Linked DNA regions of Lonchura striata. The protein of the gene in region 1 purifies or fractionates together with the protein of each later gene. This does not show direct contact. Links are inferred from orthologs where the notes say so. Each region holds a gene or a part of one and is shown in the gene's direction. Other genes may lie near its edges. The genes, in order: PPP2R2D, PPME1, CDCA4 and IER5.

Region 1 (7,679 bases):
AGGAAAACGCTGTGCTGCTCCTTCCTGGAAGAGCTCCCCTCTCCAGGGCCAGGGCTGGGCTGGTGCCAGGGCAGAGGGACACTGAGCCACGGGAGCTGTGCACGGGACAGGCTGGCGACAGCCAGGAAGGTGATGGCACGGGGACAGCAGGGAGGGAAAAGCCGGACCACGAGGCTTAGGACATTTGCCTGGAGGTGACAAAGGGGCTTTCCTGAGGGGCTTGGATGGAAGGAAAAGTCTGCTTTGGAGCAGGAAAAGTCAGCATGCCATGCATACCTCATACAAGACCAGGATTTCAGGGACAGAGGGGTCTGTGCTCAGCTGCGGGAGCAGGGACCTGGGCAGGAACCACCAGAGGTGAACAAGGACTCTTCATACACCATAGGTGTAAAAAACACAGCAAAATTACTGAACACAGGGCTCATAAGGAAACCCACCAGCTGCCAAACCACAGGCTTGCTCCGAAGTTTGGAACACTGACAAAAATTCCATGGGAAAAAGATCTGTTGCGCTTCTCACCTAAGAATAATCAGGTGTTGTGCTGTCAATTAGCACGTGAGGTGCGTGTGGTTTCTATCTGTTAACAAAATGTGACTCCCTGTGCCCACCAGCTGTACTTCCCTTCAGGATAAACGCTCTTTCCATGGATTGCCCCGTGTTTTTGGGAATTACCCTTGCAGCACCGTCTCTTTTCAGAGCAGAGGCAGTGAGAGCGCCCTGGCAGGCTCAGGGCTGTTGGCCCTCTGCAGAGGGTGGAAAATGAGGGACGGGGCAGCAGCACACGGGGCACGGAGGGCAGCTGGCCCCGCAGGATCCTATTTCCAGAGCACACGTGGAAACTTTGTTCTCGGGAGCTTTCCTTGCTCGGCGTGGCCAGGCAGAACGTCAGCTCCTTGTGCGTGCACCCCAGTACACGGCAGGGACCCAGCGACTGGGAACAGCCGCTCTGTCACCCTGTGCCCGAGTTCTGGAATTCTGCAAGAGCACACACCCAGCCCCGTGCCCGGCCTGTGCAACACCTCTGCCCACACCCCCCGGGCTGAGCAGGGAAAGCTTTCCCAACCCCCTGTCCCCAGCCTGGGCAGCAGGAAAGGGGAATTGTGCCCCGTGCCCAGGTGAGCCCCACCTGCAGAGCTGGCTCAGAGGGACCTGGAGCTGCTGCAGAGGATCCAGAGGAGGCACCCAATGATCAGAGGATGGAGCAGCTCTGCTGGCAGAGCTGCACTGGAACCTGCAGGGGAGAAGGGTGGGGTGACCTCGGGGTGGCCTCACGGGGCTGGAGGAGCCAGCAAGAAACTGGAGAGAGATGATTTACAAGGGCCTGGAGTGCCAGGGCATGGGAGAAGGACTCTGCCAAAGAGCAGGGTTTAAAGGCATTCTTTGCCCTTCAGGATGACTTTCCTACAGCCAAGAGACTAAGTAAAAAAATATTTTATTTAAACACTTGATACACAACACACTACATAAGGAATAAACACAAATCAAGTAATGAGTCTATAAATGGGTACAGATGTCATAGCAAGAAATTAAATAAGGAAAACCTGAGTCAAACGCATTTCTGTATCTAAATTACCAAGAAAAGGCTGCAAGCCCAGAGGAGTAATGTCTCTGAGAGGAACCATCCTGAACTCAGGCAAGTGCTAGACTTTAGCCCTTCCACAGGAAAATCCTCAAGAACCTCCAGGTAAAATTCCATTCAGTAAGATAAAGACTTCCAGCAGAGAGAATTACTTGTTCCTAACAAGACTCTTACTCTGTAAGGGGATGTTCTTCACTCACCTGGGCTCAAGATCACAATTAACCAAGTCTGTTCATCAACCAATTTCCTTGCATTTCCTACAACCAACAGGACTTAGGAAACCACCTCAGACTGAGACACAACAGTGCAGACCTGTCGCCTTTCCAAGCACTTAGCCCTTCCCTAGGAGCAGCTGGGCTTTAAAGTTCTTTAAATTGTACCATTTTCCAAAGGACTGCGAGACCAGGAATGTATTAATAGACGGGGTTTGGGGCAAACACAGAATTCATTTTCATTTCTTTCTGCTCTTTTGGATTTAGGGGCAGAAATTGCATCTCCACAAATTCCAGTATCCGTGCTTGGAAAAGGAGCAGTCAGGAGAGGCCCGAACTCAACGGGGCAGCAGGAATATTGAGTTTGTGAGGCAGGAGATGCAGGGAAGGGGCAGCTCCGCAGCCGTGGTCGGACACCTGCAGCCCTGGAGCTCCAGGAGCGCAGATCCGGAGGGATCCCGGCCGCGTTCCCTCCTCCCAGCCCTGCCCGCGGCCAAACCCGGCCAGCACAGCCCCAGGGCCGGGGCTTGGGGCTGGATCCCAAATCACCACGGGCAGCTCCGGAGCCGGGCCGGGCCCTCCTGCCCGGGGCGAGGAACGGTGTGGGGGGACACGAGCCGGATGAAGAAAAGCTGTGACTGAGAGCTGGGCTGAGGAAAGGCTGTCCCTGAGGCATGAGAGCAGAGCTGGGCTTAGGAAAGGCTGTCCCTGAGAGCCGGGCTGAGGAAAGGCTGTGACTGAGAACTGGGCATAGGAAAGGCTGTGACTGAGACATGAGAGCAGAGCCGGGCTTAGGAAAGGCTGTGACTGAGACATGAGAGCAGAGCCGGGCTTAGGAAAGGCTGTGACTGAGAGCTGGGCTTAGGAAAGGCTGTGACTGAGACATGAGAGCAGAGCTGGGCTTAGGAAAGGCTGTGCCTGAGACACAGAGCCGGGTTTAGGAAAGGCTGTGACTGACAGCCGGGCTGAGGAAAGGCTGTGACTGAGAACTGGGCTTAGGAAAGGCTGTGACTGAGACATGAGAGCAGAGCTGGGCTTAGGAAAGGCTGTGCCTGAGACACAGAGCCGGGTTTAGGAAAGGCTGTGACTGAGACACAGAGCTGGGTTTAGGAAAGGCTGTCACTGAGAGCCGGGTTTAGGAAAGGCTGTGACTGAGAGCCGGGCTGAGGAAAGGCTGTGACTGAGAACTGGGCTTAGGAAAGGCTGTGACTGAGACATGAGAGCAGAGCTGGGCTTAGGAAAGGCTGTGCCTGAGACACAGAGCCGGGTTTAGGAAAGGCTGTGACTGACAGCCGGGCTGAGGAAAGGCTGTGCCTGAGACACAGAGCTGGGTTTAGGAAAGGCTGTCACTGAGAGCCGGGTTTAGGAAAGGCTGTGACTGAGAGCCGGGCTGAGGAAAGGCTGTGACTGAGACACCAGAGCCGGGTTTAGGAAAGGCTGTGACTGAGACACAGAGCCGGGTTTAGGAAAGGCTGTGACTGAGAGCCGGGCTGAGGAAAGGCTGTGACTGAGACACAGAGCCGGGTTTAGGAAAGGCTGTGACTGAGACACAGAGCCGGGCTTAGGAAAGGCTGTCTCTGAGGGCTGCTGAGGCCTCGGCAGGCGCTGCCCAGGAGGGTGGCAGTGCCCGTCCCTGGAGGTGTCACCCGGAGGTGGCACTCGGAGCTCTGGGCTGGGGACAGGGTGGGGATGGGCACAGGGTGGACTCGGTGATCCTGAGGGCTTTTCCAGCCCCAGCGACTCTGGAATTCTGTGATAAACCTGTCCCTGAGGCCCTGCTCCCTCCCTCCCCTCACCCGGCTCTGGCGCAAAGGAGTCAGAGGCACGTTTGGGTTTTTGCTCTTTTGGTTAGTTTGGTTTTCCCCTCATCACAATTAACCCTTGGGGGAGCGAGCAGAACCAAACCGGGACGCACAGCGAGGTCTCTGCTGTGACGCTCCCGTCCCTTCACGGAAAGCCGCGTGTGGAGCGGCTGGGGAGCGCCGGCACGGCTCCGAGCCGCGCTCCTTCCTCCTCCTCCTCCTCCTCCTCATGCTGAGCCCCCCGTGCTGCCTGGGAGCGCCGGCACGGCTCCGAGCCGCGCTCCTTCCTCCTCCTCCTCCTCCTCCTCATGCTTATCCTCCGGTGCCCTGCGCGTCCCGCGGAGCCGGGGCCGGGACCGTGCCGTGCCGGTACCGTGCCATACCGTGCCGTGCCGTGCTGTGCCATGGCATACCGTGCCTGTACCATGCCATGCCGTGTCGTACCGGTACCGTGCCGTGCCGTGCCGTGCCGGTACCGTGCCATGCCGGTACCATGACGTACCGTGCCGTGCGGTACCATGCCGTACTGCACCGTACCATGCCGTGCCGTGCCGTACCGGTACCGTGCCGTGCCGTGCCGGTACCATGCCGTGCCATGCCGTGCCGGTATCATGCCGTACCGCACCGTACCATGCTGTACCATGCCGTACCATGCCGTGCCGTGCCGTACCGGTGCCATGCCGTGCCGTGCCGTACCATGCCGTACCATGCCATGCCGTACCGGTACGTGCCATGCCGTACCGGTACCGTGCCATGCCGTGCCATGCCGTGCCGTGCCGTGGCGTGCCATTGCACGCCGTGCCGTGCCGTGCCGTGCCATGCCGTGCCGTACCGGTACCGTGCCATGCCGTGGCGTGCCATTGCACGCCGTGCCGTGCTGTACCATGCCATGCCGTACCATGCCATGCCGTACCGGTACCATGCCGTGCCGTACCGGTACCGTGCCGTGCCGGTACCATGCCGTGCCATTGCACGCCGTGCCGTGCCGTGCCGTGCCGTGCCGTGCCATTGCACGCCGTGCCGCCCCGCTCGCCGCCCGGCCCGCCCTCCCCGAGGGGAGCCGGCGGTGACGTCACGGCCGGGCCGCCCGGCAATGGGCGCCATTTTGAAACCGCGAACCCTCCCGCGGCTCCGGGCGGCTCCGTCCCGCTCCCGGCCCCGCTCCCGGCCCCGCTCCCGCGGCTCCCCCCGCCATGGCAGGTCTGTGTCCGCGCCCCAGCTCCGCGCCGGGACGGGCCGGGACGGGCCGGGGCTGGGCGCCGCGGGGCCGCGGGGCCGGGCGCAGGCCGGGCCGCGCCGGGCGGCAGCGGCGGGGATGCGGGAGCGCGGCGGGCCGGGCCGGGCCGGGCGCGGGGCGCTCCTCTCCCTCCCTCCCCGCTCGCTCACCGCCCTTTCTCCTCCGCAGTAGTGGCGAGAGCTGGAGGCGACGGCGGCGGCAGCAGCAGCGAGGTGCAGTGGTGCTTCTTGCAGGTGAAGGGGGCGATCGACGAGGACGTGGCGGAAGGTGAGGGGAGCCCGGCTGCGCGCTCGGGCGGCCGCGGGCAGCGCCGCAGCATCCCCGGCCGTGCCGGGCTGTGCCATGACTAAGCGAGCTCCCACCCCTGGAGCATCACGGAGCAGCCACGGCGCCTTCCTCCGGGTCTCCGGTGCAATCCCTGAATCCCTGGGTAGCTGGGCCTGCGGCGCCTCTGGGATCCCCCGGCCCGGGCTCACCGGGAGCCGGGCACACCGGAACGGGTCCCGCAGGGCTCGGAACGGCTCTGCAGAGGGAGACCCCGGCCCCTCCCGGGCAGCTGCTCCAGGGCCCTGCCCCTCCATGCACACGAGTTCTTTTCTTCCTCTCGCTGGGCTGAACTCGCTGTGCCTCAGCTCTGCCCGTGCTCCTTGTCCTGGCCCTGGCACCGGCCCTGCCAGCCCTCGGGGAGATTTGCAGGGCTCGGCGGGGTCCCCCCTCAGCCTTCCCTGCTGCAGCCTGAGCAGCCCAGCTGCCAGAGCCTCTCCTCAGCTCAGAGATGCTCCAGTCCCAGAAGGACTCTGTGGCCTCTCTCTCCAGTGGCTCCTTGGCTTTCTGGTCCTGAGGAGCCCAGAACTGGGCACACTTCTGGGCTTAGGATAACTGTCTACAGTTCTGGGCTCAGGATAAAAGGTAACAACAGTGATACGATACAGGGAGAGGAAAAAAAGAAACACCAGTGGAGTCTGTCAGGCTTGTCAAGTTTCGCTCTGACGCACAGAGAGTGCAGCTCTGTCATTTGTGCTGCATTGAAAAGTGCAGTTTAAAGGGTTCCTGCAGCTGTGGAGAGATTTGATTCCCACTTGTTAACGTTAGGGAGCTATAAATAGGGATATTAAGCAGGGAAAAAGGGCACACCTTCACATTTCTCTGAAACTTTCCAGGCGCTTCATGTTTTGGACAGAGTAGAAAATAAGAAATGTTTTAACTGGGAAAAGTGTTTGCTGTAGTGTGCAGAGTCTGGGTGGAGTTTTGCTTGACTCTGATGAGAAAGTTCTTTTTCTGCCCCTAAATTTCATGTGTTCTAACTGTCCAGGTTGGCAGTGCTTCTTTCGAAAGTGTGAATTAACTTGCAGGGCCTGTGTGCTCAGCTTGGGTTTGGGATTTTATTTTTATTACTGGATGCAGTAAATATTTTTCCTTGCTGCCTGCTACGGGAAATTACGCTGACAGTGTTTTCATTTTCATGCCACTTGTTTGGCATTCCATTTAAAATAATGGCCATTGGAGGGATAGACTGGAAACTGCTCGAGAAACTACACTCACTCAGTTGTTTTCTTCCTTTTTCTTCCCTCTGTATGTTTTGTAGCTTGCTCTGAAGTTCCCAGAAATGTTGTAGAAATGTACAGAAGTAGCTTGTATGTTTTTTAAGTGGTTCTTTTTTCTCAGGTCTGTCACCTGTGTGACTAAAAGCCAGTTCTCCATGAGTAAAGGATATAGTTCTGGGGACTTTTGGCTCCTGGGGGCACTTTGCTTCCCAGATAACTCCTGAGCAGCCTGGATTTACACAGAGCAGGAGAGCTCCAGGAATCGTTCAGCACCTGGTTTTGCAAAACTAACACTAAAGTTTTGTTTTCCCGTGGGAATACCAGAACTATTTACAGGCTTTGTGACTTCTTGGTTTTTTGTTTTGATTTGTGGCCTTTCCCCTCCTCTTACATTTTGCCTTGAAATTGAATATAAAAAATATGCTACTTATTTTCTAATAACTGCCCAAATTTAATTTCCTAGTAAGAGTACAAATACATGGCTAGGTTTTGGGCCTCAGTTAGGGACATATTTACTCACTGCCATCTTTTAAATCCTCTCTTACCAAACTGCACATCTAAACCTGCTTGATGGACAACTGTTGCCTTGAAATAGCCTTCAAATTACACATAAATTTTTGTGACAGTGCAAACTTGCTACTGCTGTCAATTTTTGGTCTGTTTTGTGAAAAATTAGCTCTCTAGAGGAGGAGGACACCATGAAGTTGCTGTCCAGCCTATTCCATGCAGAGTGTTTTGCCAGATTTTCTTAGGGGTTTATTCAGGAGTTGAAACTGCTCAGCCAGGCGACTTTACCAGAAAATCCGTTCTTTTACAGTGCAGTTCTATTGCACATTTTATATTCCATAGTTGTTTCTCAGGTGTCTGGCTTCATCACAAACACTGGGACAACTGTATCAGATTGGCAGCTGGATTTTCCTAAGTGGGTCATTAATACAGAAAATCACTGTCTCCTCTTTGTCTTGTCCGTGCCTTGCCTTTCCTCGGTGACTAATCCCTGACCTCTGTCCAGGCTCTGTGTCAGGAAAGAGAAGGGCACTGTTCAGTCTGACCGTTTCTGAAAGACCAGGAGAATCCATCACTTCTTGACTATGGATTTTGTAAAGGGTTGGGTAGGACTTTTCTAGAACGGAATAGTTTAGTTGGATTCGGGGGAGAGGACTGAAGGATAAAACAGATTATAAAATAGAGATTGGGTGAAAGACTTAATATTAGGGATGGCAACAATCACAATTTGAAAACAAAGCTAATTAAAGATTGTGTTGTAATTCTGTTGTTAGTGTTAACCACATGACTCCAAAACTT
Region 2 (7,985 bases), on another chromosome or scaffold:
CTGGGGGTAGTTTGGTTTAAGGGTTTCCTCTGTGCTGTGAGTTTAAAATAATTTTATGATCTGAAACACTACAGTGTTATCCACTGATAAACCACAGTGAAAAGGTAAGTGCAGGGCACAAGAACATGAACCATAAATTCTGAACCATATCTGACCCAGAAGCTGTGTGTTCAGGGTGCAGATGTGGACACAATGGAAGCATCATTTATGCTCCCGCTACACAAAATTAGAGGAAAAGGTGCATTTAATATCTGGAGAAAGATTTTAAATAGCTGTAGTTTTAATTTACAGAGTATGTCCTCTTCCAGGAAACATGGCACTTGTTTTATGTGCTTACTTTATGTAATATTTTAAGCCACAACACTTACAACTATTAAGTAACTTAGTTTTATGAAAGATTGTGGTTAATCCTTCTGACAATCTTTCTGTCACTTTCACACCAAGTGGCTTGGAGCTATCCAGGACATCATGCATTAAAGCTGAGCTATAAAGCACCTGCATCAATTGCACAGGAGTGACTGGTTACATTCCCAAAAATGTGGACAACTTGAAGGGTCAGGAGACATTTTTCAAAATGGTCAGATTAGGACAATTTTGCAGAAGCCTCCAGTGCATCACACTCACCTGCCCAAAAGTAACTGGATTGCTCCTTCTTCAGAGTTTAGGTCGAGTTGCTGACCTGAAACTTCAGATCCAAAGTGATGGAAATCTTCAGGAGTGTGCACAAAACTGGACTTCAAGCCTGTTGGGCTCCTGGGTAACAGCAATGGAAGCAGAGACAGCAGAAAAAGGACAAATAAAGACATTAAGGCATACTCAAGATTAATCCATTAATCGGTCTATCAGTGTCTTCTGTGAAGTCCAAAATAATCCACTTTAACACAAATGCAAATAGCTTGTGCAGAAAGAAATTAAATTGAGTTTGCAATAGCATCACTGACTACCAAAGACAATGACATCGCTTTCTGGTTATCACAGAACAACAGGTAATATTCACATTTTTCCAGAAGAAAATCAAGAAATCTAAGTTTCTTTTCCCCTAAGGAAAAAAAAAATGCATTTAGGTTATGAATTACTTACACTTCTCTGAAAAACTGCTCCTTGTGATGCAGTGCCATTTCACTTGCACTGTCTTTCAAGTCTTACTCTTATTCCCTACCAACATGTAATATTTCCTTGACAAATAACTTAGAACTAAATACAAATATACTAAAAAATTAAATTAAAATCAAATACTTAAATCAAAGCTTACTACATGAAGATTAAAATAAATTCACAAAATTCGCGCATTTATTCACAGGTAGAAATTAACTTCCTATTTGAATGATGTGCTTTTTTCACCTCAAATGAATCCTAAAACACATCCTATGAATCTCAGTATCTACAGTTTTCTGGATAAAGCCTCAAAATTTATGGTTTGGAGCTTGCATCTCACTTCCCTCAATCCAAACTCACTTTGTTGGTGCTTTAAAATCATCTCTCTCTATAAAATCAGATATTTTATTCAGTTCAATCTCCATGTCTAGGCTGGACTTCATTGCAGAAACAACCATGGCATCACGGAGTTTACTGCCTTGATCCAAGAGAGCTGGGAAACAAGCAGAAGGATTACATTTCAGCATTCAAATGTATTTTAAGAGCAATGTGTAGACATAATCAATGTGTCAGCTACGGTCAAGAAACTTGTTTTCTGCTGTTAAAAAAAGATCTTGACTCACTGGGGATTAAATATGTTTTATACACCAGAAAACAGCTCAGCTGGGAGCGAGGGAGAATGATCCTCCATCAGTCTCCCACTCCACTGCACAGGGAATTTCTCTGCACACACAGGGTCAGGTATTGGAAAGGCATTATTAGGATACAGAAGCAGTACTAATTTAGGGAAGAGAAGTTTGCCACTTCAAGATGTCTAATTTTTGTTCTTTTCTGCGAATATGGAACTCAAAAGACAGCACATATGGAAACATGCCCTACTCCAAAGCTTATTTCAGTCCAGCCCAGGCAACAGCAAGTTTTAAGACAAGGCCTTTTTGGTATAATGCAGCAAGAGGGTGTGAAGTCTGTCTTTCCCTTCAGAAAACCTCATCTCCATACAGGCAGACAAAAGAGCATCAAGAGCTGTTTGCAGTGAAATCTAAAATGTGAAGCCAGCTGCACACAAACCTGACAGCAGGTCTTTTGTAGCGGCGTTGTGCATGGAGAGCACCCGTGTGCTCCTCCTGGGAAGCGCTTCAGGATCAGTGCTGCTGGGAAACGACAGGGGCTGACTCGCAGGATTCATTTTCAAGTGTTCATCTGGTAAAATCACACCGTGACAAGAAGCAGAAAAGGTGTTCTTCATGTTTTCAGAATTCTTTTGGTAGAGCAAACCGTCCCTTCCTCTAGGGAAAAACAGTGACAACTCAGGAAGGTGGGTAAAGGGATTCAGAGCTCTGCAAATTCTCCCTTCAGGACATGCTCCAACAGGAAACATGACATGTTATTTTAATGATTCCTCACCTGCCACTGAGACCATCAGAGAGACCAACCCAAGCTGCAAGTAGAAGATTTTTTTTAAAAAAAAGATCTTTTTTACAAGAGCATCTTGTGACAGGACAAGGGGGAACAGATTCTCACTGCCAGAGGGTAAGTTTAGATTAGATATCAGGAGAAAGTGATTTGCTGGAGCACGGTGAGACTCTGGCACAGGTTACCGAGAGAGGCCGTGCCTGCTTCATCCATGTCCAAGGCCAGGCTGGATGGGGCTTGGAGCAGCCTGGGATAGTGGAAAGTGTTCTGGCAGCAGGGCTGAAATGAGATGAGCCTTAAGATCCCTTCCACCCAAATTATTTTGTGATTTGATGATTTGAGGCACCTCTTTTGTGAACTTGCATGACTTGAACTAAGTCAACCTAAGAAGCAAATTTCTTATCAGACAAGAAATTGTCCCTGTCACCTTGGAAATCTCCACATCCTGGATTTAATATAAGATGTATGTTTGAAAACATCAAGCATCCCATAACTCACAAGTGTACTGCCATACCTAAAAATCCTGTGTGAACTGCAAAATAAACCACAGTTTTGTCATGAGAAAAACAAAAAAAACAAACGGATACCTAGGAGATGTGGCTTTGCTGTTGTCAACCCAGTCCTGTTCAACAGTCACCTGTGTGTGCCTGGGCTGCTGGGATGGAGCAGGAAGCTGGGACTTGCTGCTTCCCTGGGCAGCAGCAGCAACTGAACCTCCTTGTGTGGTCAGCACACAGCTGCTAGTATCATACAGCTCTGGCAGAGGTTCTAGAATCAGTGAGACCTGGAAGACAAGAATGTGAAAATATTACTTTGTTCTCTTCCTAACTTAAGTGCAGTAAACACTGCATTAAACTTCACTTGTTGTGCAATGGAAAACTGCTGCTTTTCTACATAAAGTAATATTTACATTACGCAGCTATGTCACATATTTACAACTACTTCTTTCTTGTTCCATGTTTTCAGACCCAGTCAACTGCCTTTCATAATCAATTTTCCAGAGCCAGGGCTGCAAGACAGAATTTTCTTAATTCCAGATGTCAAATCTTCTATTATCAGCCCAGTGAAGTGTAAGAACCAAATATCCATTTAAAATCCACTGTTAACACTCACTCTTGGTGACAGAGATGACCACATGCTCCTCACTAAGCTCAACTACCCCACATCCCTTGGAACAAAATAAAGTCAATATCAGCAGTATTTGTTTTTTTTTATTTGTTACCTAAGCTCAGAAATGCCCTTGACAGAGAGCAAAGCTGCAGTGTGCCATATACAGCTTGACCCTGCACCTGATTATACCAGTGTCACAGCACATAATTTATGATAATGAGCAAAGACATCAAGACTACCTGCAGCTCTCCGAGTTTACCCGATGTTGGTGACACCACAGGAAAAGACCCTTTGATGGGATGGCTGGGAGAGAGCTGGGACAGCTTAGTGATCTGTGCTCTGCCAAGGAGAAGGTGGTCAAGTTTGGTTAGAACCTCCAGGACCAGAACGCCCATATCTGCAAAAATCAGGAACATCTTCAAGTCAGTCTCATGGTCACAACTGACACTTTTTGGCTAAAATGACAGCAACGCCAGAGATTAACATTATGTCCTACAAGGAAATTACGATAACAGGGCAGCAGGTGAAGAAGCGTCAATACAGACATTATTACTGGTACTAAATGATGATGAACGAGTACAGGATTACCAGGAAAGGAACAGGACACAGGGAAATGCTTACCGCTGTTCGAGGGTAACCCCCTGGGCAGCCTACCCACCCTGCCCGTGAAGAAACTTCTCTCGACGGCCGACCCCAACCTGCCCCGGCACACCTTAACGCTGCGTCCTCTCGTCCTACCCCAACCTAACGCGGTCCCGAAGCGTAGCGTCCCTACCTGCCAGGTAGGCGGCGAGCTGCCGGGGTCCGCAGCGCACGGTGAAGCGGGCGCTGGTTCTCCCCGCGGGCTGCCCGGCCCGGCAGGCGGGCTGCAGTACGGTGCCGCCGGACGTCTCCCCCCACCACCGTAGGCGCACCACGGCGGGCGGCTGCGGGGCCGCCCAGAACACGCGGGGCACGCTGCAGCGCAGGAAGCAGCGCGCCGGGCCCTGCACCAGCGGCGGCAGGCTGATGGCGGCGGCGGGCTCGCCGGCACCTGCGGGGACAGGCGACATCAGCGGTCCGTACATCGTCCCGAGCCTCCGTGCCGCTTCCCGTCCCACAGCTGCACGCTTCTCTCCCCGCTGTATCCCCCCAAGCCCCGCTCCGCCGCTCTGTCCCTCTCCGCACCTCCCCTCCGCCGCATCCCGCCCGCGCCTCCCGCCCGGCAACGGCCGCCGCGGCGGGGGACTACAGCTCCCGTCCTGCCCCGCGCCCCGCCGGGCAGAGCGGGGGCGCGGACTACGTTTCCCGCGGTGCCACGCGGGCGGGTGCGCTTAGTGCCGCGTGGCGGCGCTGTTGGGGGAGCCGCTTCCGGCGAGGCGAGGCGGGGCGGAGGGGGCGGCGCGGGGGTCCCGGTGTTCCCGGTGCGTCCCTAGCTGTCATGTCTGCCCTGGAGAAGCAGCTGCATCTGGGCCGCCTCCCACCTCGGCCCCCGTTGCCCGGAGGCGGCGGCCATTCCGGGTCGAAGATGCGCATGGGGTAGGCGGAGGAAGGGCAGGGGCGGATGCCGAGATCGGGGGGGAGTCTGGGGGGAGAGGTTACCGCGGAGCGGAGGCTCTGCAGGGAGGTGGGGCTCGTGTTGGGGGTCTGGAGGGACGGGTGGTCTTTGCTGGGGGGATCTACAAGGAAGGGAGGTACGTTATTCCGGGGTCTGGACGGAGGGGAATCACTATCGGAGGATTTGGGAAGAGGGGAGCTCGTCCTGGGCGATCGGGACAGGGAATGGCCATTATCTGGAGATCTGGGAGGAGGGGAGTTCGTCCTGAGGAATTGGGCACAGGGAATTATCGGGGGGTCTGGACAGGGGGAAGCTCATCCTGGAAGATCGGCAAAGGAATGTCGATTACCAGGAGATCCGGCCAGTGGGGAGCTCGTCCTGGGGGATCGGCACAGGGAATGGCCATTATCACGAGACATACACAGAGAAGAGCTCGTCCTGGGGAATCGGGACGGGGAATGGTCACTACTGGGGGATCTGGAGCGAGGGGGGGTCATTCTTAGGGGTCTGGAGGGAGGGTTGGTCCTGCTTCCCAGTGCTCCAGGAGAGTGACACCTGGATCAGGCTTCTCCAGCTGCAAAGGTATCAGTGCCCAAAGTATCCTTAGGCTGGGGGAAGGTGGCAGGGGCTGGGATCAACTCTCCAGCCCTTTTCTCCTAGTCCTTTTGCCATCAGTGTTTGGAGGAAGGGTCAAGCACCATGTCTGGGTGGTACCTCAGAGTGTGACTGCGGGGAGAGGTGTGTGGAAATTCTCAGGAGCTGAATTCCTAAGCTGGAGTTGGACTTTGATAATGCTTGTGGTGGGTCCCTTTCCGAGTCAGAATATTCCATGATTCTGTGAAACAGAATTTCTCAGCTCCGGGCACCTATGTGAAGTAGGTGTGCTCTGCCAAGTGACGTTAATCCCTGCTTAAATCTGCATTTTGAGATGATGGAAAAGTCTGGAATACTCTTTAATCTTTTAAGCAGGGTTTGAGAGTACATTTTAGGAGCTGTGGGAGAAGTTTGACCAGTGTCTAAGGCTGTAACAAGTGTTAATTTATATAATTCTTCCTCTCTTACCATGAATTGGAGGGGTTTTAAACTCTCTCTGGGAAATTATTATGAATGAAACAAAATCCAGTGTTGCGGTTAAGGATCAAGAATTCCCCTGGAATTCTTCCCTTGGAAGCAGTGGGGAGTAGTTCATAATCATGTTGTGGTTAGATTTACTGCTCTACCACCCAGTAAATCCCTTTACAGGTCATGTTCCTGTTGTGGGAGGTGCTGCACATCCAACATGGAATTACCTCATCCAGAGGGGCTTGGGGCTTCTGTGAAAAGGACACAAGAGGAAGTGGGATAGAAAGTTTAACTTAAGCTGAGCTTATCCTTATCAAAGTTCAGTTCAGTATAAACAGGTGCAAGATTCCCCCTGAAGAGAATTCCACTAAAAGAGAACGGAATTAGTTGTACAGGGAAAATAGTGTGATTTACAGTGCTGGCAGATATACAGGGCTGCACTGAAATAGTTCATCAAAATTCAAAGGTTACAGGGAACAAAAAGAACTAAACTTAGGAAAATATTTATTTGCTTTATTAAGCATCTCACATTTATAAATGTAATTTATTCCTGCACTTTCAATTTCTTGAATTGCAAGCCAGGCTTTTAAAAAAATGCGTTTAACCTTAATATCCAAGAATGCCAGCAACTTGATTTTTCTGTGGCTAAATCCTCTGACTGGTGTGCTGGGCACTTTCTTTTAATTCCCTTTTTTTCCACCATGCAGGTCATCTTAATGTGACTGTGGTGTAGCTGAAAGCAGATCTTGAGAAGCAGAGGGCCAAGCATGTGAGATTGCTGCAGAAAAATAGAATTTACTGAGAACTTCTTAACCAAAATAAAGTCTTACATTTTTTGGCAATATGCTGTTAAAAGGTTAATGTGTGTTTCAGTAGTTCATAAAAAATGGCACCTTTAAGTATGTGAAAATAAACTTATTTCTAACTTTTTCTTTTAAAATTATTATTTTCTTGCTCATTTTTCAGTACAATCACTTCCTTATGTCTCTCTGTGGGAGAGTCTCATTTGAGAAGTCAAACTGTCCGAAGCAAATAGAATCATGGAATTGCTCAGGTTGGAAAAGCCCTCTAAGATCTTGGAGTCCAGCCATTCCCCCAGCACTGCCGAGGCCACCACTATCCCAACATCCCCAAGTGCCCTATCCACACAGCTTTCTGTCCCTGCAGGGATGGGGATCTGTGCAGCTGTGCTAGGGTTGGACAGCCCTTTTCAGGAAGGAATTCTCCCTGATACCAAACATGGCTCCTGCAATGTAGTCTGGAGTGGGTTTTGCGGGAGCATGGGATGTGTGCTAGAATTTCATTCTATTTCACAGCACGTGGCATTGATTCCTGCTTTGCTAGCACAATCCTCTTCTCCCTGGATTTAAGTGCTCTCCAGCAGAAATGATGGTTGCAAAGGCCCTTCCCAAAGGAAGCTGGAGCTTCTCTTCAGCTCAAGCAGTTGGTGAAACTCAGCCACTGGGAGGAATTCCATGTCCATTTCTTTAAGGAGCACCAAGGCTGTGTTGGGAATTGCCTGCGTGTTGCAAGTGATTCTTTCCAATTGCTCAACTGATGAAAATCAAAATCAAAATCACAAAATAAAACAAAACCAGGCTTATGGCCTGATTCTGTGTTCTGTGGGGAAATAAAATAATAGAATTTGTAAAGTCACTGGTGGAGCAAGAGGCCCCACGGCAGCAGATCCCAACAGCTGTAGCAGCTTCTGCATTTCCTGTCTTGTTTTTTGCCTTTTGTTTTTGGCTAGTGGCTCAGAGTTAAGCAG
Region 3 (7,158 bases), on another chromosome or scaffold:
CTGCAACTGGGATTCTGAAGGGAGCAACCCGCCATTTGGCACAGGGCTGCTACCGACTCCCCGGCTCCCCTCAGAATTCCCGGTATCTTTGCCTGAGTCCCAGCCAGACTTCTCAGGATATTTCTCAGTCCCTTCTTTCCCTAGGATGTACAGCCCCGTCCCGCAAGCCCTGTGTTTGGTTTGACCTTCCCAATCCTGTCCCTTCCCAAGATGTCTCCCTGAAGAGACAAGGTGGCAGGAGCCACAAGGTTTTTCCCACCACTTGTTCTTCCCAAAATCCCTTCATCTCCTCTTCCAACCCCTTCCTACCCATAAACCCCTCCTCTTCCTGTTTTGTCCTTTATTCAAACTCCACCCACAACTCCCTTAAGTTCTGCCCCTGGTCACACCCCTGAGGGGGGATCTTCAATCATGTGTCCTCACCCCCTCTCCTGGCCCCTCCCATCCTCCTCCTTCTTCCAGTTCCCACAGTCCCTCTTAAGGTTCCCTGGTTTTCATTCCAGAGGGGAGGAGCCCAGAAATGGAAGTTCCCATGATTTATGGCCAGTTCTGTCTGCTGCACCAGTGGCTTTTATACCCCAGTGAGAGGGGGATGTGCAGGCCCAGTGGACCCTGCTTCCATATCAGACCACCAAAGAGTTGTGTAAGGCCCAGAGAGAGTTCTCAAGGGAAAATGAATGCTTTCAGGGACTTCTCAGGGCGACCTTCTCCTCTGATCTCACTCCTGCTGATCTCTGGTCACTCTTCTCCTGCCTGTTGTCGCCCACTGAATTTATTTTGTGGGAGGCAGCCTGGAGGAAGGAGGTCGAGAATGTCCTTCCCACATTGTGGAATAACCCTGCCACAGCAACTGACACTGAGGGACATATGTTATCTGTGTGGGGAGGCAGAGTGGGAGGAAGGTGCCAGACAGGCACTTGAAATCCCTAGGGGGTGCTCCGGGAGTCAGCCAAAGCTGACTGGTGTTCTTTAATTTAAAACCAAAAGGGCCTGTCTAAAATTATTTAAAAATTGTTCAGTCTCCTCTAGAGCCTTTCATAGATTTTGTTGAGAGACTCTGCAGGGCGGTGGAGCTCCAGGTGAAAGAAGAAGAGGTCCATCAGGGGATCCTGAAGGAGATGGCAGTACTGAATGCAAATGTTCAATGCAAGGCCGTCATCCTGAGCCTGCCAATGGAGCCAGCCCTGCATGACATGCTAGAAGTGTGTGAAAAGAACGTTATCATTGAAGCAGAGGAACAAGACAAGGGGCAAAGACATCCTCATTGGATTGCAGCAGACGATACCACCCCAGCCTTCAAACCACCGACAAAGCAACCGCCCCACACGCTGAGACCTTCCCAAAGACCTCCTACAGCGAGCAGACCCTGCCATCTATGTGGAGAACTGGGGAATTGGATGCAGTTCCTCCCTGCGCTAAGACATAAACAGGGTGGGCCCAGAAGTAACACTGGGGACGGAACTAAAGCAGAAACCCACTGAGGGACAGTTGTTAACCTGCAATTCAAAATCACCTGACTTGACTAATAGTAAATATGACCTCTCTCACAATATACCTATTCTAACGACCACCTCTTACTTTGTACCTTTTAGGCTTCAGCTGGTGGAACTACTACATCTACAGGACTCACATTTTCACTTCATCCAAGTGTCCCTGGATGATTCAGGTACCTGGAGCAAGATTGGATGTAAGTATGTCATCATTGGGGACACCAAACACAAGAGGTCAACATCATTCTGGGTGTAATTAACACCAGATCAGTCCAGGCTTGATGACCCCAAGCCCCGCAAGGATGCTGATATTACTGACCACTCTGCTCTACATCGTGTGCCATGGCCACCTGTGGATTGTTCCCAGCCACAAGCCAATGTTTGGAAAACTCTGGCACAGACCCTTGGGCAGGATAACATCTGTCTGTCCACTGACTCCACTGCCAACCCAATGTCCACCTGCCTTGTGGGGATCCCATTCAAGTCAAATTAATTTCCTCCTTTAGTTTCTTCTTTCCTCCCTATGTACAATCCCTTAGTTCCCTGGGAACAGTTCCTCAAAAGATTACCACAAGCCAAGGAGGAACCCCATGAATTTGAATTGCTTGGCTCAGCCAGCAAAAGCCCCTTATTGCGTTCATTTTCTGATTGAACCTATGTCCCAAGAATCAGGTGCACAGAAATAAAACAAATCAAAAGTCAATACATAGCAAAAAAATTGGTGTAAAAAAATCAGCCACAGAATGGAACCATTTACCCTTACCTCCAAACCTCACACCCTACCTAGTGGAACTGTATTTATTTGTGGAGATACAGCTCTTGCAGGCATCCCCTCTCACCTACCCAGAGGCCCTTGCACCATCGATCAGTTGAGCCTGTTTTCCCCCAACATGTCCCAAATTTTGGATTGGCGTCAGAACAACAACACCAACCAATTGGACGGCAAAAAAAGAGAACTTGGTGACCTGGACGCAAATTGCAGCTCTGAAATTATTCATTGGTCAAGACTAAAGGGGGTCGCATTTACTCTTTTTTTACCATGGGTATCTGTAGTATGTTATTTCCTCCTGCTTTACTGTATGACACTACAGCTCTGCTGTTTCCCAGCCTGTCTTACAAGAACCTCAGCCGCAAGCCTCGCCCATCCTCCAGCTCCAGCTGCTTATCCCACCCTTTCTCCAGCTCCTTCCCCTCCCCGCCCCAGGGCCGGGAGGCAGCAGCTGCCGCCTCTGCGGCGCTCCGGCAGCCCGGGCCAGCCGCCCCTCCTTCCCCCGGGCTGCTCCGGAGCAGCCGGCACGTAGCTGCTGGGCCGGGAGAGCCACCGAGACACGCTGGGGCAGCCTAAGTGCTTGCAGATGTGCAGCTGCATCGGGCTGGGGTCACAGCGGCAAGGTTTGGTTGAGGGGGTTTTGCTGAGCAGGGTGGCAGCAGCTTTAGGACAGAACCAGTTAGGTTGGAAAAGACTTCTGAGATCGAGTCCAACATAGCACTGCATAACATGGCACTGAGTGCCATGTCCAGTCTTCCTTCAGCACCTCCAGGGACGGTGACTACACCGCCTCCCTGGGCAGCCCATTACAGTGCCTAATCACCTTTTCTGTGAGGAAATTCTTTGTTATGTTCAGCTAAACTCCCAACAGCACAGCCTAAGGCTATGTTCTCCGTAGCCCTGTCACTCGTTCCCTGGGAGCAGAGCCCAACCTCCACCTGGCTGCACCCTCCTGTCAGAAAATTGGAGTGATAAGGTCTCCCCTGAGCCTCCCCTTCTCCAGGCTAAACATCCATAAGCTGCCTCAGCTGTTTCTCTTAAAACTTGTGCTCTAGACCCTTCACCAGCTCTGGTCTCTTCTCTGGACACACTCCAGCCACCTTAATAGTCCTCCCCAATTGAGGGGCCCAGAACAGGGCACAGTACTCCAGGTGTGCCCAGCACTTCCCTGGTCCTGCTGGCCACACTATTCCTTTAGAGGCCAGAATGCCACTGGCGTTCTCGCCCGCCCGGGCACTCGCTACTGACTCATGTTCAGACAGCGGCTGCCTGCGGGGTGAGACATCACCCCCGCCCCAGCACGCGGGTTCCTGGCTCCGACTGCGAGACCCGGGGCTGGGCCCGAACAGGAAATGCCACAGGCCTTGCTAATGGAGTGCTGAGGCCTCCTGTCACCCCCGCGGGGCGCAGCTCCGGGGCTCCCGGGCCGTGAGGGAAGTGGGACGGCGGGGAGCGCCCGGCCCGGGGCTGCCAACGCTCCCTCTCCCCTCCCCCGCCAGGGCTCCCCGCGGGCTGCAGCGCGGCCAGGTCTGAACCTGTTCCCGCCGGAGCCCGTGGCCGGGAGCCCAGACGCACCGCGGGGCCTTGGCTACGATTTGAAATCGGGGCGGCCCCGCCTCGCCCCCGCCCCCGCCGCCCTCAGCCTCTCACGGCCGAGGGGAAGGGCCCGGCTGCCATGGCAACCTCACCGCCTTAGGGGGCGGAGCTCGGGGGCGGGACGGACGGGCGCTGTAGCCAATCGCAGCGGCGAGTGCCGCCTGCAACGCCTGGCGGCAGCCAATAGCGGGCGCCGCCGCTCCCTGGTGGGCGCGGTCTCCGGGGAAGGCCCGCCCCCGGCGGCCGCGGGACCCTTTGTGGGCTTTGACAATAAGATGGCGGGCGGGGGGAGGCGGGGCCGGCTGGCCCCGCCCGTCCCTCGGGCGCGGAGCCGCCGGTGAGGCGGGAGCCGAGCGGGAGTTCCTGCTCGGGTGTGCGCCGGCGACAGCACTGGCAAGGCGGTGAGTACGGTGGGCTGGGTCGGGCTGGGCTGGGTCGGATCCGCGGGAAGCTGGTGCCGGCGGAACCCGCTGAAGGGACGGGATCGAATCAAAATGGCGGCGAGAGCGCGGGGCGGTGAGTAACCGCCGGCAGCGCTGAGGGGGCCGGCGCGGGCGGGACGGGCGGCCCGTTCCGCACTTCTCCGCTCGGTCGCTGCCGCAGCCCCGCTCCCTCATCGTCCGCGCCTCTCCCGGGCGCTCCGCTGCCCTCCCACTGGCGGGGAGCTCCCCCTCGCTCCCCGCCCCGGTCCCGCCTCTCCCCCCGGCTCTGCGGGCTCCCCCTGCTTAGCGCCCCCGGCCCCCACCTGCGTTTCCACGGGCTCCTGCCCCATCTGCTCAGCCTGCTCTTCCCCGGGTGCTGGAACCCCTTCCCCAGTCTCTCGAGTGCCAGAGAGGTGCCTGCCAGCCCCCTACGCCCCGGGGGTGGGCAGACCCCAGTGCTTTACAGGGGCCTTTGTTCCAGTCTGAATAGCGATGCTTCTGGCCTCTCCGTCCCTCTGCTGTGTCTGCATCCCACCTTATACCTCGACACACCATACGGGCACACGTGCATGGCTAAAGAGGAGTAGCAGCTCCCTTTCCGTCTTTTTCTCCACTGTTACACAGAGCTTTGGTTTCTTCCCACGGTTCTTAGAAAAGCCAGTGTTGGAGTGGAGAGGATTAGAGTGGTAGAGGGGCGATACGGTTCCTTCTTGCCTTCCCGTGCTAACCATCATCACTGTACTTACGGCTGTACAAAAAGCAGCACTGTGCTTCACTGAGCCTCCAGCATGGCCTGGGTACTTCTTGTCTGCTTTCCCCTAAAGATAAGCACTGCTGAAATTCCCTGTCTTTGTTAACCCAGTTAGTGGGAAGCAGCTTTTTTTCCCTAAAGTACTTAGCTATCTCTTTGGCAGCATATCACTATATGAGTCCGAATTGCGTGTGAAAATGGAATGTCTTAAGTTGATGCTCTAATAAGAACTGAATCAAATTTCAAGCACCTTTTTTATAAAGCAGACTGGGAATTTGTTGATCCTAAAAGCAAAACTTGTAATGAATTACATAATTCTATGCTATTATTTATTTTTTAAAAAGTGAAACAACAAAACCCACAAAACTCCTTTTCCCTTAGTGCACTATGCTGCAGCTAGCTGTGATCTCCTTGACAACAGTTTTTCTGCGTAGCTGTTTCAAACAGCAGCTTAGTTGAATACACAAAGTTTGGGCTCATGATACTGGGGAAGCAGAAGAAAGGAGATGATGCAGCTCGTCTGGATGCTGCTTCTTGGACAGAGAAAGGTGCTGCTTCAAATTATCAGGGGATTTTGAACACTTTGAACTCTGAAGCAGCAGCAGTCTTCCTCTGATGTACCAAAAGGTTTTACACAATGGCTAATGCCTTTCTGAGTATGTTAATAGATAAATCAATAGGAAAAGATACTTAGATTTTAATTAAGTTTCAAATTTAGAATTCTCTTGAGATGAGTGCTTATTGGAGATAATGTAGGGAAGTTTGTGGGAGGTCATTTGTTTGCAAAGTTTTAATTGCATCTGGTAATAGCTATGAAGTTAATATGCTTTTACTGAGAACTTGGTTGTTGAGGTACACATTTATGCCAGTTTATAGAGCCCAGAGAAATGACTGCTGTGATGGACCTATTCTTCAAATTTATACTAACAGAAGTCCATGTGGTTTGGTTATAGACCAGGGAAGAACATGGAATCACATGCAGCAGGTTTTAAACATTATTATATTGCATGGGAAAACTCTCCTTCTGTAGTACATAAATAGATTACAGACTGAACTGCTCTGCCAGCATCCCCTGTCATTTAGTTTGTGGATGTGATAATGGCTCTTTTACCAACAGCAATAGTCCCCTCCTGTATTGTCCCCTATTTTGGGAGGCAAACAGCCACAGCCTCTCCCTCTGAAATTGTCAGATATACCAAATAGCATCAGAAAATATTTCAGTTTGTTTTTCTCATGACTGCACCATCTTTACCTGTAGTTCTTGGAAGGGAGGTGGGGGAGGTGTTTGATGTTGGATTTTTTTATGCCCTTGTCACCTACCCTCCAATAAAGTAGAAATTTTGGGATTCAAATAGTTACCAGACACAGGCTCTCAAAGAGATCACTTTTCATTTGTAGAATATGTTCAAAGTGTACCTGGGGAGCAAAAACTTCTGAACTTTTATTGTGTCATAAAGTGTTTGCCAGAAATAAGAAATAGTTTATTGACTTGATATGGTGTCTGACTGAAGTTGTAGTTCAGATGCCTTAAGACACTGTTTCTAAAGTTGCTGTGAGCTCAGTCTATAAAAAAAAAGAGACTTTGAATTGTTTGAAATACAGTTTCCATGACATAACATCATTTAGTTTGAATATCTGCGATCAAAAGTTCTTGGCTTGAGAATGTTAAAGGTGGTTTTTTTTTTTCCCATTGTGGCATTTTAACAAGTATGCAGCTTCTTGAGTAAAGACATGTTTTCTGCACTCTCACCCTCAAGTCCTTTGTCATCCATTTTCTTCCCCCTCCATTTGAGAGAAGCAATTTTGAAAAATTGTTTATTACTACACAAAACAGAAAATCAGAACAGATCTCCATGTGCATCCTCTTTATTTGTTTCTTTTCCAGGTATGCACTTCAGTTGCAGACACAGAACTGTCTTGTACTGCACAGACATGTCTAGAAAAGTATCTGAATTGTTTCCATTGTTTATTATAAAAGTTTTTCTAGCCTGTTGGAACAGCACTCTTTTTTGTTGCAGTAGTTAAGGGAATTGTTGCATGTGATGTGAAGTTGTATTTGAGATATCAAATCTTATTATGCTTTAAATGGGTTTTAAAAACTCAGCCTTTATTGTTAAAGCAGTTTAATTA
Region 4 (5,297 bases), on another chromosome or scaffold:
CCCTGGGGTTTTGGCTGTCCTGAAGTTCTGTTTTTGCTCCAGGCAGCTGTTGGTGCCAAGGCTTTTGCCTCAGCACCGCTGGTGGTGAGGGGCTTTTGATGGATTTGTTCACATCCTCCTCTCAGGATGGGTCTAATTCATGAATCCTGGTGCGAATAGAAGAGAGAGGCATCGATGCACGGCAGCAGCACTGGGACAGCCGCTGGTGGATGACTTCAGCGTGTGCTTCGAGGACACCCTAATTTCACTGTCCATCCCAGCTGGAGGGTTTTCCACCTCTTTCCTGCATCCGGCTTCCCCCTGGGGCCTGGGCCGCACATTTGGTGACAGCGAGGAGCTGGCGGGGGGCTGAGGAAGGGGTCAGGCGCCGCTGTCGGAACAGGATCTCGCTAACCACATCCTCATTCCGCGGGGGGCCGTGCTGGGAGCCAGATGGCCGGGCCGGGCCGGGATGGGAAGGGCCGGGACGGAGCTCAGCCAGGCTCGGGGACCGGCAGAGCCGCGATGCTGCCGGAGCTGGGGCTCCCCCAGCATCCCCCGCCGCTCCCGGCCAAGATGCGACCGCACGAATCCCCAGCGAGCATCCCGGCGCCGACCTCCTCTGCTCGGAATTGAAACGCTTCCAAAAAAGCCGGGGGCGTGCGCGCAGCCCTCTGCAATTATTAGTCGTACCACAAGCTGCTTCCTCCCTCCCTCGAGCCGCTTTTATGTCGCATTGTTTTCCTTTCCAGGTGGCCCACCGGGGCTGCCTCCTCGCCACCGCGCCGGCCGCAGCTCTGCTGGCGGAGAGGCCACCTTTGTCTGCCAGCCAGCCCGGCCCTTCCTCCCCCTTCCTCCTCCTCCTCCTGCTCCCGTGCCAGAGCTATTTCGGGAAACAGCAGCTGAGCCGGAGGATTGTTAATTGTTCGTCAAACCCCTTCCAACCCCGCCGGATCACATGCGGAGATTAGAGCGGCCGGTCACACCCTTTCCCTCCGCCTCCTTCTCCTGGATCCCCCCCTGACCCGCAGGGCTGGGGGCGATGTCCCTTCCGCGGGGCGGGCGGAGGGATGGACCGGGGGGTGCATCCAGCTGTGCCCAGCTGTGGGAAGCGCGGCGATGCCGAGCCGCGGCTAGCAGCGGATCGCCGTGCTCGGAGGGCAGCCCCGGGCGCGGGCAGGAGCCTCGGGGCAGCCACAAGGAAGGCAGACAAAGCCACCCCAGGCGCTGACCTCAGAAGCCGCCATGTGACTCGGCCTCAAAGTTACTAAAGCATGACATCAGCCGGGGAGGGAGCGGCAGAGCTGCCACCAAAATATGCCTGCCTTCAACCGGCTGCTCGTCCTCGCCCGTGGATCCCCCCCACTCCCGAGGATAATTGCCATTCATGGTAGTTCCTGCTGGAAAACAAATGGAAAAGATCGCTTTGACACGCAAAAAGCCAGCCTAGTCTTTGGGTCGTTCCCAGGGATAAGAATGTGTCTGTGAAGCAACCCACTTTAGATAATGATATACGTATTGATATAGTGTGTGTGTGCACCTTTGCTTTGGCAAATGTCCTGGACCGTGATTCTGAGATGAGATGTTGTTGTGGAAAAGGAAAAACCATCATCCCACCTCTGCAAAGGGCACGGAGAGCAGGCAGATGTCGAGGCAGAGCTTTGGTGCCCTAGGAATACCGTGCTGATGGTTGTGCCTGACACCAGACGTGGTGTTGGTGGGTGAAACTCGTGGTGCTGGGTGCCAGCTCTCCTGCACCTCTGCCCCTCCCTGCTGGTGCTCTGTCTGAGCACTGAGAGGGACGAGGGATCACTCAGTCCCCATCCCCATCCTGCTAATCCCTGGCCAGAGCCGGGAGGGGCTGCTGGCCCGCCTGCTCCCAGGCAGGGTAGCGGCCAAAAGGCAGTGCCTGCAGAGAAGTGGTGCCTCATGCCATGGGGGTGAGGTGGTGAGCAGCAGAACAGGTCAGTCTGCTCCGATCCAGGCATCTTCACCCCGCAGAGCTCCCACGCTCTGCCTCCTCCACCCGCCTTGGGCTTTTCCCAGCTGGTGTGATGACTTTGCACTGCTGCTTTTAGTCCCCGAGTTGGGATATGCCTAGCTGAGAGATGCATCAAATCTGACTTTCTGACCCTTTGCTGAAGATGCAAGTGCCCAGATCTGGCAAACAGTAGTCCCAGAGCTGGCCTTGCATCTCCCAGGCACACAGCCAGCCCTGTGCCACCAAGGGGACACTGGTGGCGGGTGAAGAGCCGTGACTGCACTCGCAGGCATGCAAGCCCAGAGCTGCCCTGGCTGGTTAGGCTGACCCGAGGGCTCAGGACAGGGTGTTGCTGGCCCTGCGAGGGGCGGGGAGCAGGTTTGGCAGGTCGGGAAAGCCTCGGTTCCCACCGCTGGAGCTCGCGTCCCTCCGGCCTCCCACGCCGGGTGTGGAGGGGACAGCCCCGCTCCCTGCGGCCAGGACAGGCTCTCCCTGCTGTGGGCTAAGCTGGGACCTTGTGTCTGTGGGACTTTTTGTCTGTGGGGGAAGCCAGGCTTGGCTGTTTTGGCCGTGTGGCTGAGAGTGCCCCGCTCGGGTCACTTCAGATGGAGCACGGCAGGTTTGGTGGAGAAGGGCTGGGCATTTTGAGATGTCAACATCCAGGCTGAGATGCTATTGTGTCTGACACCCAGAGAGTGACATTTTGAGGTTTACCATCTGTGTTTGACCAGGAGGAAAACATACATTTGTCCTGAGCACGGTTTTTTTTTTTTGAAGAAGGCTCTTGCTATGTCAACTATGCATTGGTGTGGCCTCATCTTCACTTTTTTTTTTTTTTGTTACCTCTGTGACCCGCCACCCTTTTTTCCTTCTAGAAGGCCAGGACATGGCGACAGGTTGTGCCAACAAAACATCATGATAGCCTGTGGCTTTCCCTTGGGGGAGTTTGTGGATTCATCCCCTGGGGAAAAAAGGGATGGAAGCAAGTTGTTATATGTCATCTGGGAATGGAAACTGATACTCTGGGGCAGCATGTTGAACTTCCTTAATTTTAGGCCCTTTCACTTCTTTTCTGTTTGCAAGTGGTGGTTAGTCCTTGGTGGAAGGAGGAAGGTCTGCACACCAAGCTCTGAAACACCCTCCAAGCTTTCTTGGATGCCTCCCTGGTGCCTGCAGCTGTGTCTGGGGGCTGCATGTGTTGTCTCCTCTGTCCCTCAGCCACCTGGATGATCCTGCCACCAGCTTTCACAGTAAGATTCCAGCTCCCAAACAAGATGCTCCAGTTTGCCGTGGTCCCCATCACACTTGGAGATGCTCTATTTGCCCTCCCCTACAGCCTTTCCCAGCCCTGTTGTGGATCTTCTCTCTGCCCTGGGCTTTCTGGGAGCTTCACTGCCAGGCCCCTGGAGCAGAATTCTGCCTGGCAGCTGGGCAAGCACGGCTTTGTTCCACATCAGGGCAGATTTTCCCTGAAATCCTCACAGACACATTTCACCCTCCAGCCATCACCACCACCAGCTCCTTCTCTAGCGCAGTAAGATCCCAGACAAGGGGCTGAAATTGCGGGAAACGTCCCCAACCTGACAAAACGGAGGCTGCGCTGGGTTGGATTTGTTTTGTTCGGTTTGTTGTCTGTTGTTTTTCCCTCCCCAGGGAAACGTTTCCATCGCTTTGGCCGAAATTCCCCGCGCCGCCCGCGTGGGGTTCCGCGGTGGGCCCCACCCGCGCGGCGCGCTGGCGTTGCCGCTTTAAGAGCCCTCTCCGCGGGGCGAGCTTTCGAACGCGCTGCCCTGCGCCGCCATTGGCCGGAGCGCGCGCGCGGGGGCCAGCCGGCGGTTGGAGCGGCCGGCGGCGCTCCCTGATTGGCCGAGGCGGGGGCGGTATAAAAGGCGGGCGGGCGCGTGGGCTCGCTCAGTCTGCGGCGCGAAGGGGCGGCGTGCGGAGCTGGGGTGAGGCACGGGTCGCCGCTCGGCTCGGGGTTTTAACTGTTTTTTTTTAAATCACCCCCCCCTTCGCCCACCTGCTTTCCCCATGGAGTTCAAGCTGGAGGCGCATCGCATCGTCAGCATCTCTCTAGGCAAGATCTACAGCGCGCGGGGCCAGCGCGGCGGCCTGAAGCTGCACAAGAACCTCCTGGTGTCGCTGGTGCTGCGCAGCGCCCGACAGGTCTACCTGAGCGAGCCGGGCTGCCCGCCCGAGCCGCCCCCCGCGCCCGCCGGCCACCCCGAGGAGGAGCCGCCGCCCCGCACCGCCGCCTGGGCGGCCGAGGAGCCGCCGCCGCCCCCGCAGGACGAGGCGGGCAGGGACTGCCAGGGCCCCCGGCCGCGGCGCTGTTGCTGCGGCGAGAACCGCGGGGGCTGCGCCGGGGCCCCCCCGCCGCCGCACTGCCCCCGCAAGCGGAGCGCCGGCGAGCGCGGCCAGGCGGGCTCCCCGGTGAAGAAGCCCCGCCGCGAGGAGGAGGAGCCGCCGCCGCTGCCACCGCCGCCCTCGCCGCCGTGCGAGCAGGAGGACATGGAGACGGGCAACGTGGCCAGCCTCATCAGCATCTTCGGCTCCAGCTTCTCGGGACTGCTCAGCAAGGAGCCCAAGGGCCGGCGGCGACCGCCTCTGGACGGCGGCGAAGCGGCGGCGGGCACGGCGCCCGCCGAGGCGGCGGCCGAGCCGGGACAGATCTGCTGCGACGAGCCGGTGCTGCGGACCCTCAACCCCTGGAGCACGGCCATCGTGGCCTTCTGATGGCCCGGCCGCAGAGACTGGCTCCCCGCCGCGGGCCGCGGGGCCCGGAGGTGACACCCACCGAGCGCCGCGGGGCTCCGGCGCCGGCCAGACCCGGCGCCCTGCGCCGCCGCACGGGAGGGACCGCGGGGCAGCGGCGGCAGCGCTTCCCCGTTCCCCGCCGGGTCCCGGCTGCCGGCACCCGCCCTGGGAGCGCCCCCGGCCCTGCCCTCCCGGAATTCCCCTTCCCGGCAGAGCCGCCGCCGCCCTCCCCGGCGCCCGGGGGAGGCTCCTCGGCTGCCGCCGACCCCGGGGGCGCCCCCGGCGGGTGATATTTTAAGCTTGGAAAGTATTAAGTTTATTAAATAAAGTCTCTATTTTGGAAAGGTTTAGGTCAGAACTATTACATGGTGCTTTTTAAAAGTGTTTATTGAGAGGAACGAAGTTTACAGACGCTCTGACGGAAAGTCCTTGAGCCTGTTTGTTAGGCTTGGTAACTCCCGGTCTTTGTTGTATAAAGGCTTGGGGCTCCCGTAGGGAATTTTGTACAGTGTTCTCCTTCAGTGATGTATCATGTTTTGTATAAAATGTAATTTCTACGTGTACAACACGTATTAAATAT

What was found.
Region 2: the proteins of PPP2R2D (region 1) and PPME1 purify together in Homo sapiens (affinity purification with mass spectrometry; 4 studies listed by BioGRID and IntAct, counting the BioPlex papers as one, with this or other methods). This does not show direct contact. The link is inferred for Lonchura striata from reciprocal best matches to the Homo sapiens genes PPP2R2D and PPME1.
Region 3: the proteins of PPP2R2D (region 1) and CDCA4 purify together in Homo sapiens (affinity purification with mass spectrometry; 3 studies listed by BioGRID and IntAct, counting the BioPlex papers as one, with this or other methods). This does not show direct contact. The link is inferred for Lonchura striata from reciprocal best matches to the Homo sapiens genes PPP2R2D and CDCA4.
Region 4: the proteins of PPP2R2D (region 1) and IER5 purify together in Homo sapiens (affinity purification with mass spectrometry; 3 studies listed by BioGRID and IntAct, counting the BioPlex papers as one, with this or other methods). This does not show direct contact. The link is inferred for Lonchura striata from reciprocal best matches to the Homo sapiens genes PPP2R2D and IER5.

Annotation. Positions count from the first base shown.
Region 1 is NC_134609.1:31,970,216-31,977,894, forward strand, and holds the start of PPP2R2D (serine/threonine-protein phosphatase 2A 55 kDa regulatory subunit B delta isoform), read left to right. Parts: upstream 1-4,657; 5' UTR 4,658-4,786; coding exon 4,787-4,793; intron 4,794-4,998; coding exon 4,999-5,097; intron 5,098-7,679. UniProt on the Homo sapiens protein: Substrate-recognition subunit of protein phosphatase 2A (PP2A) that plays a key role in cell cycle by controlling mitosis entry and exit. Involved in chromosome clustering during late mitosis by mediating dephosphorylation of MKI67.
Region 2 is NC_134604.1:19,315,989-19,323,973, reverse strand, and holds the start of PPME1 (protein phosphatase methylesterase 1), read left to right. Parts: upstream 1-4,964; 5' UTR 4,965-5,038; coding exon 5,039-5,136; intron 5,137-7,985. Other genes in the region: C2CD3 (C2 domain-containing protein 3), read right to left, coding at 625-753, 1,456-1,588, 2,164-2,381, 3,096-3,292, 3,858-4,015, 4,394-4,651, 4,786-4,801. UniProt on the Homo sapiens protein: Demethylates proteins that have been reversibly carboxymethylated. Demethylates PPP2CB (in vitro) and PPP2CA. Binding to PPP2CA displaces the manganese ion and inactivates the enzyme.
Region 3 is NC_134608.1:8,337,737-8,344,894, forward strand, and holds the start of CDCA4 (cell division cycle-associated protein 4), read left to right. Parts: upstream 1-4,140; 5' UTR 4,141-4,256; intron 4,257-4,600; exon of another isoform or gene 4,601-4,681; intron 4,682-7,158. UniProt on the Homo sapiens protein: May participate in the regulation of cell proliferation through the E2F/RB pathway. May be involved in molecular regulation of hematopoietic stem cells and progenitor cell lineage commitment and differentiation.
Region 4 is NC_134611.1:2,038,642-2,043,938, reverse strand, and holds IER5 (immediate early response gene 5 protein), read left to right. Parts: upstream 1-3,887; 5' UTR 3,888-3,991; coding exon 3,992-4,696; 3' UTR 4,697-4,785; downstream 4,786-5,297. UniProt on the Homo sapiens protein: Plays a role as a transcription factor. Mediates positive transcriptional regulation of several chaperone genes during the heat shock response in a HSF1-dependent manner. Mediates negative transcriptional regulation of CDC25B expression.